3 separate regions of the Mus musculus genome follow, and all the other regions are reported to be linked to region 2. Evidence: microRNA targets listed by miRTarBase, many of them from high-throughput screens and not tested one by one. Region 2 holds a microRNA gene; each other region holds the end of a gene's coding sequence.
What was found. The annotated mature microRNA mmu-miR-654-3p reads UAUGUCUGCUGACCAUCACCUU and lies in region 2 at 2,859-2,880, shown strand. An mRNA with a match to its seed (bases 2 to 7 or 8) in the 3' UTR can be bound and repressed. Matches are read on the target gene's strand: a 7mer-m8 pairs with bases 2 to 8, a 7mer-A1 pairs with bases 2 to 7 and ends in A, and an 8mer does both.

Region 1 (4,243 bases), not on the chromosome of region 2:
ACTCAATTATAAATACCAGAGATTTTGATAGAAATTAGTTCACACACAGGATGATTTTCTCTGTTTAGGAACACAGATACAGTTTATTCCAATGGGAATAATTTTCCTCATTTAAACAAATACTGCATTTCCTTCTGGCTACCACTTTCTTTGTAAGACTGAGCTCACGTTTCTGTCAGCAGCCTATTATAGACCACCGGCTTACACATTCTTCTTTACTCTCAACAAACATAACTATATATATCTCATCTTGATAACAAGGACAAGAGCTCGATCAAGCCCTGATGTTGTTTTGCTCACCTTTGTTGCTGCAGTATCTGGCACAGTCCCCAGTAAAAAGCATTTAATAGATGTCACAGCTTTTATAGCTCTGTTGCTAGGCTTTTAAAATGACTAATAGATTTAGTAGTTCCCCATCCTTCCCCTTTGAGAAGATCTACTTGCAATGTGCACTATCTGAAGTATGCTGTGGCAATGTGACGACTGCATGGCTTTTTATTAAAAAAAATTTTTTTTTTCAAGTTTCAAGTCCTGAAATTTGCTCTGTTGACCAGGCCTCTAACTCAAGAGATCCGCCTGCCTCAGCCTCTGAGTGCTGGGATTAAAGGCGTGTGCTGCCACCACCTGGCTTTTCACAGATTTTTAGCTCAAAATGTCCTTTTCATCTTCTTCCCCAACAAGAGGTAACAGGCATTTCACTGGTTCAGAAGGGATGATGATGGCTAGGACTAAGACTGGCTAGGGGTAATGAACTCTGGAGGTAGAATAGGGACCACTTGGACATGTGGGATGCACACAAACCAAGAAGGATTTTTTCTTTAAAATTTTCTAATTTGATCAACTGAATGGTGTTTGTATTCAACCCTCTGGGAAAGAGCAGCTAAGAGGTAAGCTAATCTATTCATTTACCAATGAAACTAAATTCTATAAATTTTATTGATGTGTCACCATTTTTTAGTTTTTGGTGGTGGCACTGTGGAAGGCAGTTATTACTGATCACTTTAGGGACACCACTTGGCACTGACTATGCTTTCAGGTTTACAGTGTTTTTGTGGTCAGTGTCACCATTCATGCCCAGAACTTTTTACACTCTTACTGAAACTTGAGTAAGTCTGTCCCTTTTCCTCCAAATCATTCACAATTCTTTCCTTCTATACACTTTCCTGCTTCATGTAAGTGGAATCCTGATGTTTGCCTTTGGTGTCTTATCTCATGTAGCACTGTGTCTTTGGAATTCATGCACCATGCAACATCTGTCAGGCATCTCTGTTTTTAAGGTGTTTTTCTTTCAGCCCTGTAGATACCTGCTTAAGTCAGGCTTTGGGAATGGTTCTCAGAAGCTGAACTGCTCAGACATACTGTGAGTTTGTTTTATCTTTCAGAAGCTGCTCTATCAACTGATTGTAAAGGTCCCAGTTTCTTTGTACCTCAGTGGCTGCTCTTTTTATTTTCAGAAAAAACAAAAAAAAAACAAAACAAAACAACAAAACAGTTATCCAAATGGGCAGGAAGCTGGAACCTGTTCCAATTTGTGTTTGGCTTTGTATTGGTTAAAGATGAGAAACAGTTTTTTTTTTTGTTTTTAAAGATTATTTATTTAATTTATGTATGTGAATCCATTGTTGCTCTCTTCAGACACACCAGAAGAGGGCATCAGATCCCATTACAGATGGTTGTGAGCCACCATGTGGTTGCTGGAAATTGAACTCAGGACCTCTGGAAGAGCAGTCATTGCTCTCAACCGCGGAGCCATCTCTCTAGCCCGAGAAACAGTTTTTCTCTTAGGCATCTTCTTTGGAGAAACATTTGTTGTCCATTTGTGAGTTATCTGGGTCACTGGCTTTTAATTCTTGAGTTTTTAGTTATTTTGTAGTATGGAACACTTCTGGGTATATGACATATTTACATGGAACAAGAAAAAAATGTGTTTAGCTTGCATAAAAATGCATCACTGAAAAGCCCACTTCAGCGGGTGGGGTGGGGTGGGGAGGTGTTGCCTCAGGAAAGGCATCTTCCTGGAGCTCTCCTCTATTACCTGTAGACAGCTCAGGAGGCTAAAGTCTCTTCTCTCCAGCAATCAGTATTGCCGAGATAACCTTGGGGAGGGACCTGCTGAATTATTTAAGTTTCAGAAACTTTTTAAGACTTGTGAGTTATTTATTTCCTGAGCCCCATTAAGTTTCATTTACTTCCCGAGTCTTAGGAGTCTCCCTCCAGGACGGAATGTTTTAATTTGGAGGAAATTACTATGCAGTACCACTATTCTAACCATTATTTGAGAATGTTATTTATATATTTAAAAGACTATCTTGCCATCTTCTAATTAAAAGAAAACACTTTCTAGTATATAATTCATATATAAACGGATGGCCATTTCTATACTAAAATCTAAAATTGCAAAGCATGCTGTCGTGGGCTGGAGAGATGAGATGGCTCAGCAGTTCTGAGCAATGGCTGTTCTTCTAGAGGACCCAGTTTGATTCTGTGGACACACATGGTGACTAACACCTGTAACTGCAGTTCCAGGGAATCCAGTGCCCCTTCTGGCCTCTGTGCACACTGCACACATGGAGTGCACAGATACTCATGTAGGCAAAATATTCATACACATAAAATAAAATTTTAAGAATTACTTATTATTAATCACATAATATTTTAAATTAGTATATTTAGTATTTGTTAATGATCAACTTATGAATTGCTTATGGGATACCGTTACAAGAAAATAAACATAGCATAGAACTGTAGAAACAATACTTAAATGATATAATTGATAGAAAAGTGAAATAAACTTGGTATGTAAAAGGCATTGACAGGGCTGAAGAAAAGGAATGCGTATGCAGATATGTGTGCTGTTGATTGAAGTAGCTAAAGAAAGCAGTATTACTGGCAAATGCTAACAAATAACTGTGGTGGTTTGAATAGAAACGGCCCCCATAGACTCATGTGTTTGAATGCTTGGCCCATAGGGAGTGGCACTATTAGGAGGTATGGCCTTGTTGGAGGAAGTGTGTCGCTGTGGGCTTGGGAGAGCCTCCTCCAGGCTGCCTGCAGAAGACAGTCTTGTTCTGGCTGCCTTCAGATCAAGATGTAGAACTCTCAGCTCCTTTTCCAGCACCATGTCTGTCTGCAGGCTGCCATACTTCCCACCATGATGATACTGGACTGAATCTCTGAACTGTAAGCCAGCCCTAATTAAATGTCTTCCTTTATAAGAGCTGCCTTAGTCATTTTTGTTTTTTACAGCAATAGAAACCCTAACAATCAAACTCTAAAGTATTAACTGGTTTGAATTGTTCAAAATCTATTATTCTTAATAACCACTTTACTTAATCCATAGAAAATTGAAAAAGTGCTAGATTCTGAATTTCTGGTAAAACCTTCCAAGACCAAGGTTAGATCAGTAACCTGTCCTCCAGATATAAAATGTAATTTACATATTTTACAATTATCACGGATTACAAGTATCAAGGGTTATTTTCAAAGTTGTGCATTTAATATTTTCTATAAATATATAATCTATAGCTAAAAGAAAATACCATCTTCTAAAAGCAAAACAAGACAGAACTTCACTGATCTGTAACTAAAGGACGGCTTTCCATTTCTTGACAGGAGTTGTTGTGTAGACTAGAAAAAAAAAACAGAAAGTAAAAACAAGAGATAAGTACATCACTGGATTCCACATTTTTTTATAGTAAGGAAAAGTGCACCTTCCTTAGGCGAATCTTGTTGATGACTAGGTAAGCAATATGGCTGAGGCTTCTACACAAAATTCAACCTTGGGCTCACTTCTTGATTTTAAGGACTAGACTTTTATAACAATGCCTGATTTGACAAGCTCATCTATCAGCAGGAAAAAGTTACAGAACTCCCACTTTACCATCTCTGACTTCACTTAAAAGCTGTGCCTGTTCTCCACATGCCAGTACCCTTGGTCCCCCCAGGCACTGTGTGTCTCTATGGCAGAGGACTTGGACCTACTTCACTGAATGGGAGACTTAGGGAGACTTCAGGTGAGCTCCTGCAAAACTGTTTAAGTGCCAGGAGAAAAGGCATTAATATTCAGAAGGATACATACATATCTTCCCATCTTTCTCTAGTTTTCTCAAATGAAGCAAGAGATTATGCTCTGCCATCTTATGTAAATTCTCTGGAACATCCTGAAAGAAAAACAGGATAAAAGGAGTCCCATTTTTAAAGAATACTTAATTGTTTAGAGCCTTTTCCAGCTTTCCTACCACAC
Region 2 (4,243 bases):
GTCCACATCATGGTGTTTGTTCGTGGAAGATATTAAACGCTGACCTCTTTTTGAGCACAAAATCCCTCCTTGAAGGGCTCTCTGTACCCGGTGTCAGGTTCAGGAACACGATGTGGGCATCAGCCCCTTGCTGATGGTATGTGAGCAGATGTCTGGCCAGATGGCAAGTGCTTTTGTTTATTTATTTTCTTATTTTGAGACTTGAGAGTTTATTGAATGAATCATCCTATAATCCAATTTCCCAAGGCAAATCTGTACATAAAAATCTAGTTTCTATCACATCGCTTCCTTCTTAATTGATTGACAGATTTGAGCAAAAACATGTCTAGCCTGCATTTCAGATTTTGAGAATTTTAAAGAATATACTCTGCCCTTCCCAGGTTCGCCTGGATCTAACCAAACGGACAAGCTCAAATATCAAATGAAAAATGATGAGAGCAAGATGAAGGTGGGAATCTCTATGAATATGTGGCACCCATATTGATTTTTTTGTATAACTCATTTAATATAACAATTTTCGATAACATTTTTTTTGTAGCAAGTTTTCATTGTAACCCAGGATACCTTTGAATTTCTTAGGTAGCTGAGGCTGACTTTGAACTCCTGCTTGCCTCTGCCTTCCAAACGCTGGCATCAAAGGTATGTTACCATAACCAGCTCAAAACTGTTGCTCTTGCAGAGGACCATAGTTCAGTTCCCAGCACCTAGACTGGATGGCTACAAGTTTAGCTTTAGGGATGTATTCTTCTTGCCTCCTTGGGTGTGCCCACATGCATACACATGCACGCATGGATAGTGAGACTACAGAAGGCAACAGACCTTGATCTCCTACCTCTACACATAGGCAAAGCAAGCATACTGGCACCACCACACGCGCGCGCACACACACACACACACACACACACACACACACACACACACACACATGAACCTAAACGTAGCTGGACATTGTTCCTAAAGAGCAGACCCAGTTCACACACAGCTACATTTGCCGTTGCTGCTCCTAGGGTCAGGACAGATGAACACATTTGCTCCCGTAACCAGCTATCAGATCCCCTAACGAATTCTGTCCTGCTTCTTTCTAGGGTCTCCTGGCCTCATAGGGCACTATGAAAGGAAGCAGGTGTAGCCCACTGGTAAGTGACCTATCCATGCACTTGAAGGTGTTTGTGAGGTTTTCTGCTTTAACAAGCTGTAGATACAAGGAGGGGCCTTGGCTCTTTGGGGCGAGGCCTCAGCATCCTTGGGTCCTCTTGTCTTTGGTTACCCAGCTTTATGAAACTCTCTGGCCAGTTCCTACTTTATTAAAACATGACCCATGACAGCACCACTATTTGGACATATATGGGAGGGCTGGTCACAGAGCATATGTTCTATGTGTGGGGACTATCACCTGGCCTACTTGTCTTCGGCCTCAAGGCTAAGATGACGAAGATGTTGGAGTTAATTAGCTGAGTTGGGGTTTTCAGTCCTTCTTTGCTTTTTTTTTTTTTTTTTTTTTTAACCAAAGATTTATAGTGTCGGTACTGGTATGCCTCTGTGTCTGATGTACTCAAAAAAGATTGGACAGGAACTTGAGCTAATCTTGTAAGGACCTGGTAGTGTGGTGATAGTAAGTCATGAATGTCCTGCTTAGCCATGTCTCAAGGTGTCTTTTATACCTATCCCCAACAGTGTCACACTAATGCATTGAGCCTGTGTGTTGGAGCCTTCTGGACTTAGCCCATTTCCTAGAAAACTTCCTTGATGTCTCCAGTGCTCCGTGGCACCTACGTGGATGCCCCAGCAGCCACCTTGATGACATCTCTCCCAAGGGTACCCAGGATGGGCTGTATGGGTGTGGAACTGGTTTTGGAAATCACAAGGGAACAGATTTCTTGTCATAAACTCTCTAAGAGGGGGTGGGGGTTTACAGTAACTCCCTACTAGGCTGTGTGACAACCAGGGCTATGTTTAACTGTACGGTGGGCTCTAGATACACTTCTGTCGCTCACTTTCTGATATTCAAAAGGTGAGTGCTCCTCTATGCCTCTGGTTAATCATAGAGGTAACACCCACATTTTCAGTATCTCAAGTGGTTCTGGGATGTTTCTGAATACAAAGTGCCCCCTAGGACAAAGCAGGTTATTCCAGTCTTCCCCCACCCAGAGAACAAAGGGAGAGATGGGTTCCACAGCCTGTGCTTTCCACAGCCAGGTTGTTCCTGGAATCTGTGTCCTCTGGGGGCTGTGCCGAGGGCGCCTGTCTGCTGCCTTCTTCATTTCTGACGGATTAGGCCTCGGCTCTTTCTCTTCAGGACTAAATCTTTTGGTATTTAAAAGGTGGATATTCCTTCTATGTTTATGCTTTTTGTGATTAAACATAGAGGAAATTTCACGTTTTCAGTGTCAAATGCTGCTGGGTAATGGGCCTGAGCTGAAGCCACCACCAGGGCAGTGACAGGACAGGTGCACCCTCTTGGGTAAGTGGGGGGTCAGTGGTCCACAGAGCATGTCCTCAGGTGCCCAAGGGCCAATGAGCAATCTTGAGAGCTTCCCTCATGGGCTGCCAACTCAGCCAGAGGTCAGGGGTCTCGTTCTGGAATCCCCCACAGCTAACAAGTCTTTCCCATTGTGTCCCTTCTGTCGCAGATAGGACTGTCCTATTGGATGTCCCAAGAGTTTAAGTCTGATATCTAAAAGGTAGATTTCCCTTCTGTGGTTTTATGTTTGCTGGTCAATCTGATGGGTTTGCCTGAGTTTTGAGTCTCATGTGCTTCCTGGGTGACATGATCCACCAGGGAGATGAGGCTGGGCGCAGTGCCCTCCTCGGTAAGTGGGAAGATGGTAAGCTGCAGAACATGTGTGTTTCTCATGTCATATGTCTGCTGACCATCACCTTTGGGTCTCTGCCTGTGGAGCCAGCTTGGCACAGAGGCCGAGGCGCCTTTCAACATTCTGTTTCCTCTGCCTGAGAAGCGGGGATTTTTTTTTTTTTTTTTGTCTTGTAATCTGTTTCAGATGAGCCAAGCAGCAAGCCTGGTCCTTCCCGGAACTCAGTCCTTCTTTGGTATTTAAAAGGTGGATATTCCTTCTATGGTTACGTGCTTCCTGGATAATCATAGAGGAACATCCACTTTTTCAGTATCAAATGTCGCTCTGGAACTATTTCTGGAAGATTCTGTAGGGTCTGGGGCTGGGGGGGAAGATCATGTAATAATGAGTGGGGCGTGGCCAGAAATGGCCTTAAGAAGCCAACTGAGTGTTAGTCTGATCTGGGTCTGATATACCGCCTCTTTGGGCAGCCTGCTCACTCTGCCCAGTGGACTTCCATTTCTGTCGACACAAGCACAAGCTCACAGCATCCTGGATCGAGTTGTTCTTTGATATTTAAAAGGTAGATTCTCCTTCTATGAGTACAATATTAATGACTAATCGTAGAGGAAAATCCACGTTTTCAGTATCAAATGCTGCTTGGGAAACCACCGAGGACATGACATCTTCACCGAAGAAAGCGTGCTATCCGTCGTCTTCCTGGGCTTGGCGGGGATAGATAGATTTGTGACTTGTGTGATGTGTGCCTATATGCCAGCCTCTCCCAGTGATGTGTTCTGAGACCACTGTGTTCTTTATATCCCTTCTCTGACCTCAAATGAAGTTGTTTCTCTGTGTGCTCACCATGTGTATGTTTTCTGGAGTCGGCTTCTTTTTTCTGTAGCGATATGTCTTGGAGAGCTCCTGGGTGGGCCATCATTTTGGGTAAGGGCGCCTTGGGTAACCCTTTGGGGGGTGTGCGGAGAAGGGGGGGCATGTGAATCATCTGGAAGTGTAACCTCCAAATGTGCCCCCTCAGGCTCACATCCGGACCGTCATCGCATCTGTCATCGCACCGGACCAGCTCTCCCCAGCGCTCCTTATCGTTTGCTACTTGAAGAGAGGTTATCCTTTGTGTGTTTGCTTTACGCGAAATGAATATGCAAGGGCAAGCTCTCTTCGAGGAGCAAATGCTGCCTGGAAGCATGGCTGGCGGCGGCCTGGGCCTAGCAGAAGGGTGTGGTCTCTCCAGGGTAAGTAAATGCATGGTGGGCCACCGAGCTTGAGCTCCTTCTTCGTCTGACCCTACAGATCTCACACATGCTTCTGAGAACTTTCTAGAAAAAAATGCTGATCCTAAGGGCTGTTCTTGGTAGAGCCTAGGAAACTGTGCCTCCCCTTCTGACAGCCCTTCGCAGTGTGGTGTGCATGCCAGGTCGTCTTCTAAGGCC
Region 3 (4,243 bases), not on the chromosome of region 2:
CATGAATGAAAAAAAAGAGGTGTAATTTTGTTCCAAAATTAACTTAGTCTCATGGGTTTCTATTAAGTCTTTCAAGCATTCCAGAGAATCTTTTCATATCTCCATTTCTGGAAAGTGTAATCAGTATAGAAGTAATTTGGGACCTTGGAAATGGCATTCATGTCTTTCAGCAGATGCCAAATTTTTGACCGACATGGCTCCCACAATTACTGTTACCATCAGTCCAGTCAGTTAACAGGTTGTAGGAAAAGATTCGTTTTTGCAGATACTGCTAAGCTGTTTAAAGAGAAGAGAAAGAGATTAATTTAGCGAGTATGAAATGTACAGATATTTAAAATATTTTGAATACTTTGTTGGATATATCAGAGGTGTGACTACATTTTTTAACAAACATACTTTTAAGTATGGTTAAAAAAAGGACAAAAACTTAAGCTACTATGATAGAAATACTATGCCAATATGTGTTAGTCAATTAATGTATGAATATTAACTACCATAGGAAGACAGGTATTTAAAAGCTACATTTTAAGGTTTTCTATCATTTTTACACAGGTACAAATCAAGAATAAAACCTGAAACAGTTCCCCAAATACTAAATTGTTCTCAACATCACAGTAAATACACCCAAACCTGAAATTTTCAAAGCAATCTATTTTGTATTTCAGAACTCTCTATCAAAATACTAATTATTCACAAAAGTTTTCTAAAAATAGTAAGACAACAGTTTTATATTAATCATAACTTTTTTAATTAACAAGTAGTGAACAGAACACTCTAGATACTGTTTACTACACACTGAAATAAACAACTGCTGTAAATTAAACCCAAACATTTACAGTAAAATGTGCTTACACATAAATATGAGCAAAATTTATTTAAAGCCCCTGATAGATCCTACATACATGCAGTTACCATGTAAAAACAAGACCATGAGTTGATGCAAAAAAAATGACAAAAATCACTGTCACCAAAACTAGAAAAAAACAATGAAATGGAAACAAAAACACAGTTAATAAGACATAAGGAACCTAAGAAAGCAGCTTTAAAAACAGGACACTCTGATCTTCCACTGTTGAGAATTCCTAATTCTCCAAACTGCCATTTATGAAATGACAGCCTAAGACTCTGTACTTGGAATTTCAAAACATCCCAATTCAGAAACTAATTTTCCCCAAGCCCACACTTCAAATGCAGGAAAAGCACTGAGGTTAAGAAAATATTCCACAGAAATGGTATAGTTTTTAGGAAAACAAACTTACTACTTCCAGAACCTTTCGATTAAGTCTATATTAACAACCATTTTTCCTATTTTCATCCATTACTTTCCAATATCATGTTAGAGATGAATAAATTCTTTGAGCCCATAACTGAAAGATCAACAAACCTGATTTTATTATGACACCATATGTTTGTCATTGGTTCTGCACAAAATTATATACAAAGAAATATATACAAAAATGTTCAAGTATTAAATTTCAATTCAAGGCTTCTGTTTCAAAAGCTACATTTAACATACTTCAGAAAGAGCACAAATTAGTCATTTCAAATAAATTTCCAACTACTTTTGGTTTCTATATCTATGTATATATATATATATATAATTCATAGGCACTGAAATCCATGCAGCTGCATTGTGGGGCTTGTATCCTACCCTTGTAGAAGCAGGTCCGTCACTCCAAGTTGTGAGTTTGGCTACTACCCATTCATGCTCAAGTGCAGTAGAGATTTTTACAAAATGTGATAGACTGAAAAACCAGAGACTAATTTAGGTCTCAAAATCATATTATCTAGCAACAAAACATTTACAGTTGTGCAAGAACAAGATTCCATTTCCATAACCAAGTAACAAAATAAAACATCTTACGTGTAGGATAACTTACATCTTTGGACTGCTGGAAAATACTTAATTATGAACATTTTAAAAATAAAAGACAGCAGAAGCCCTGATATTACCTCTGTTTCCTTATTTCTTATACTACCTTTTAAAATAAAGCAGGAAATGTGGCCAGCAGCTGGTCCCGTCTCTTCTGCCCCAACAGCTGTATCCACTTTAGCACAAAGAAAAACAAGGATGCTAAATACGTATATCCTTTATCAAACAGTGATGTTTCACAAAGAATTTAATGTCTCTTGCATTTCAGAGCATCAGAACACACACTTAAGACAAGTGGACAAAAAAACAGTATTTTAAGGAAAGACTTTTCCGTCTTTGGAAAAACAGTATCGATCATTTCATTAATTTAAACAAGTATTTTTAAATAGGACAAAAGTTTTAGAAATATGGAGAAAAGATTCTTTGTGAAGCCTCACTTTACATGTTTTCATTCACATTTCACAACCTTCAATATCTAATCATACAGAAATTTAGCCTAAATTTTAATACAACAAAAATAAATACTTTCAACAATTTCTTCATACTCATTGATTAGTAATTACTGTGCTGGTCCTCAAAGAAACATTTCATTTATCGTCTTCTAATTAAAACACAGAAATCTGATGGGTATGTTAATTTCCAACTTCTCAAGTGGTGAACTATTAGGGTCTTTAAATAGACTGTATTTCTGCATTTTCTACTGAAAACTATAAGGCATTCATTAAGTATTTTAGGAGACTTGTCATCTCCAGAAAAATACCACATTTGCGCATGCCTCAATACTTATTGTCAACCTCTGAAAAGTTGCTCTACAATTGGAATTCCAATTTGCACCTTGTACAACTCGGAACTTCCATTCAACTTCACCTGTTTGACTGTCTCCAAACTGTATCTCTATTAGCAGGTTTCTGTGTACAGTTGGAACCGATGTCATCCAAGGCCATGTCCACACTGGGGACAGAAGAGCTAGGTACACGCAACTCTGAACAAGGGGACACATTTAACAGCTATTTCAACCAGAAGCAACTTAAGTACATTAATGACCAGCACAAGTCTGTTTCCAGGGTGGACAAGGCCCAAATTAAGATTCCCCTCCCACCACCTTTCAAAAAGAAAAACAAACAGAAAAAGATATCACACACACACACACATTGAGATGTCTGCCCATTAAAGTAGCCTAAGCAGCCGAGCATGAGCGTTACGGGAAGAGATGGATCCTTACCAGGTTGTGAGGCGGGAACGACTGCTCTGTAACCCCTACAACGGAGCCTGGCAGGAAGGAAATCACCTAAAAAAGAAACTGTCAGAGAGATTTAATAGTCACAGGTTATCATTAGGAGTTGGTTACAGTGTCACATTCATGCTTTTAGCTAAACACTTAAAAGATTTAATATTACTTTTTTTTCCGCCTCTGAAATGCGTCCGGTGACGATGTCCCACTAAGGTGTTTGACATGGTGTAAGGGAGGAGAAAGGGGTAAACGCGGATAAAGAGCAGATTACTTGACCCTACATTTTAAGAGACGACGACGCCTTCCGAGCGCACGCCGAGCAGAACTCCACCGACACCTTATCCTTGTCCACATGGAGACACACTCCTCCCGCCGCGTCGTCCTCTTCCCGCGGCTCCGGCGGCTGCTTCCCCACCGGCAGGGCGTAGTCGTGGTCGCCGGCGGGCGAGTCTCTGAAGAGGGAGGTGGTCAGCCGCAGTCCCACGCCGCTCAGTCGGCTCAGCAGGCGAGCTAGTCCGGTCTCGTTGGCCAGGACGGCCCGTAGGTAGCGACTCTCCTCCTGCAGTGCTTGCACGCGCTTGCCCAGCTCCCGATTCTCGGCCCGCAGCTCCTGGTTCTCGGCTGCCAGTCCCCGGACCCGACTCTCCAGCCCCATCACGTACTCCTTCTTCTTGAGCCGATTAAGACGGGCAGCGGCCGCCGCCGCCTTCCGGGGACTCTTGGTCGCCGCCTGGTTGCCGTCGTTGGCGCCACCGCCTCCTGCTCCCGGGGACTTTCTCCGCCTCTTCTCCCCGCCGCCGCGGTCACCGCCGCTGCTGCAGCCTCCGATGCCGTTCAACAGCCTCTGCAGCAAGTCGGAGAAGCGCTGCATCTCGGCGGCCGCGGTGTCGTCGTCGTCGTCCCCCCTCAACAGGCCGCCGCTCTCCGAGCCTCCGCCGGACGAGGACAGGGGCCCGGGCGAGCTGAGCCCGGGCTCCAGGTGCCAGTCCGGTTGCCGAGGGTCCAGCAGATCGGCCAGCTCCAGCCCGGAGAGAAAGTCCATGTCCTCCGGCTCTTCCTTGGGGACCATGGCGATCGCGTCCTCCTCCTCCTCCTCCATCTTCAGGGGCGAGGGCGCGGGCGCGCGCACGGCCACGCTG

Region 1: miRTarBase lists Lactb2 as a target of mmu-miR-654-3p. Seed matches in the 3' UTR shown: 7mer-m8 at 3,120-3,126.
Region 3: miRTarBase lists Crebzf as a target of mmu-miR-654-3p. Seed matches in the 3' UTR shown: 7mer-m8 at 3,030-3,036.

The regions. Positions count from the first base shown.
Region 1 is chr1:13,623,278-13,627,520 of GRCm38, forward strand. Lactb2 (lactamase, beta 2) reads right to left here. Exons shown (of 7, transcript NM_145381.2): 6 at 4,079-4,160; 7 at 2,621-3,627. The coding sequence ends at 3,584. Among named protein-coding and RNA genes, the nearest start is that of Lactb2, 35 kb to the right of the region's middle.
Region 2 is chr12:109,720,412-109,724,654 of GRCm38, forward strand. Mir654 (microRNA 654) reads left to right here and starts at 2,807; the gene lies at 2,807-2,890. It overlaps Mir376c (microRNA 376c), which reads left to right and starts at 2,307; the gene lies at 2,307-2,392. It overlaps Mir376b (microRNA 376b), which reads left to right and starts at 3,047; the gene lies at 3,047-3,128. It overlaps Mir376a (microRNA 376a), which reads left to right and starts at 3,370; the gene lies at 3,370-3,437. It also overlaps Mir300.
Region 3 is chr7:90,443,230-90,447,472 of GRCm38, reverse strand. It overlaps Crebzf (CREB/ATF bZIP transcription factor), which reads right to left. Exons shown (of 1, transcript NM_145151.3): 1 at 1-4,243. The coding sequence ends at 3,382. Among named protein-coding and RNA genes, the nearest start is that of Crebzf, 2.6 kb to the right of the region's middle.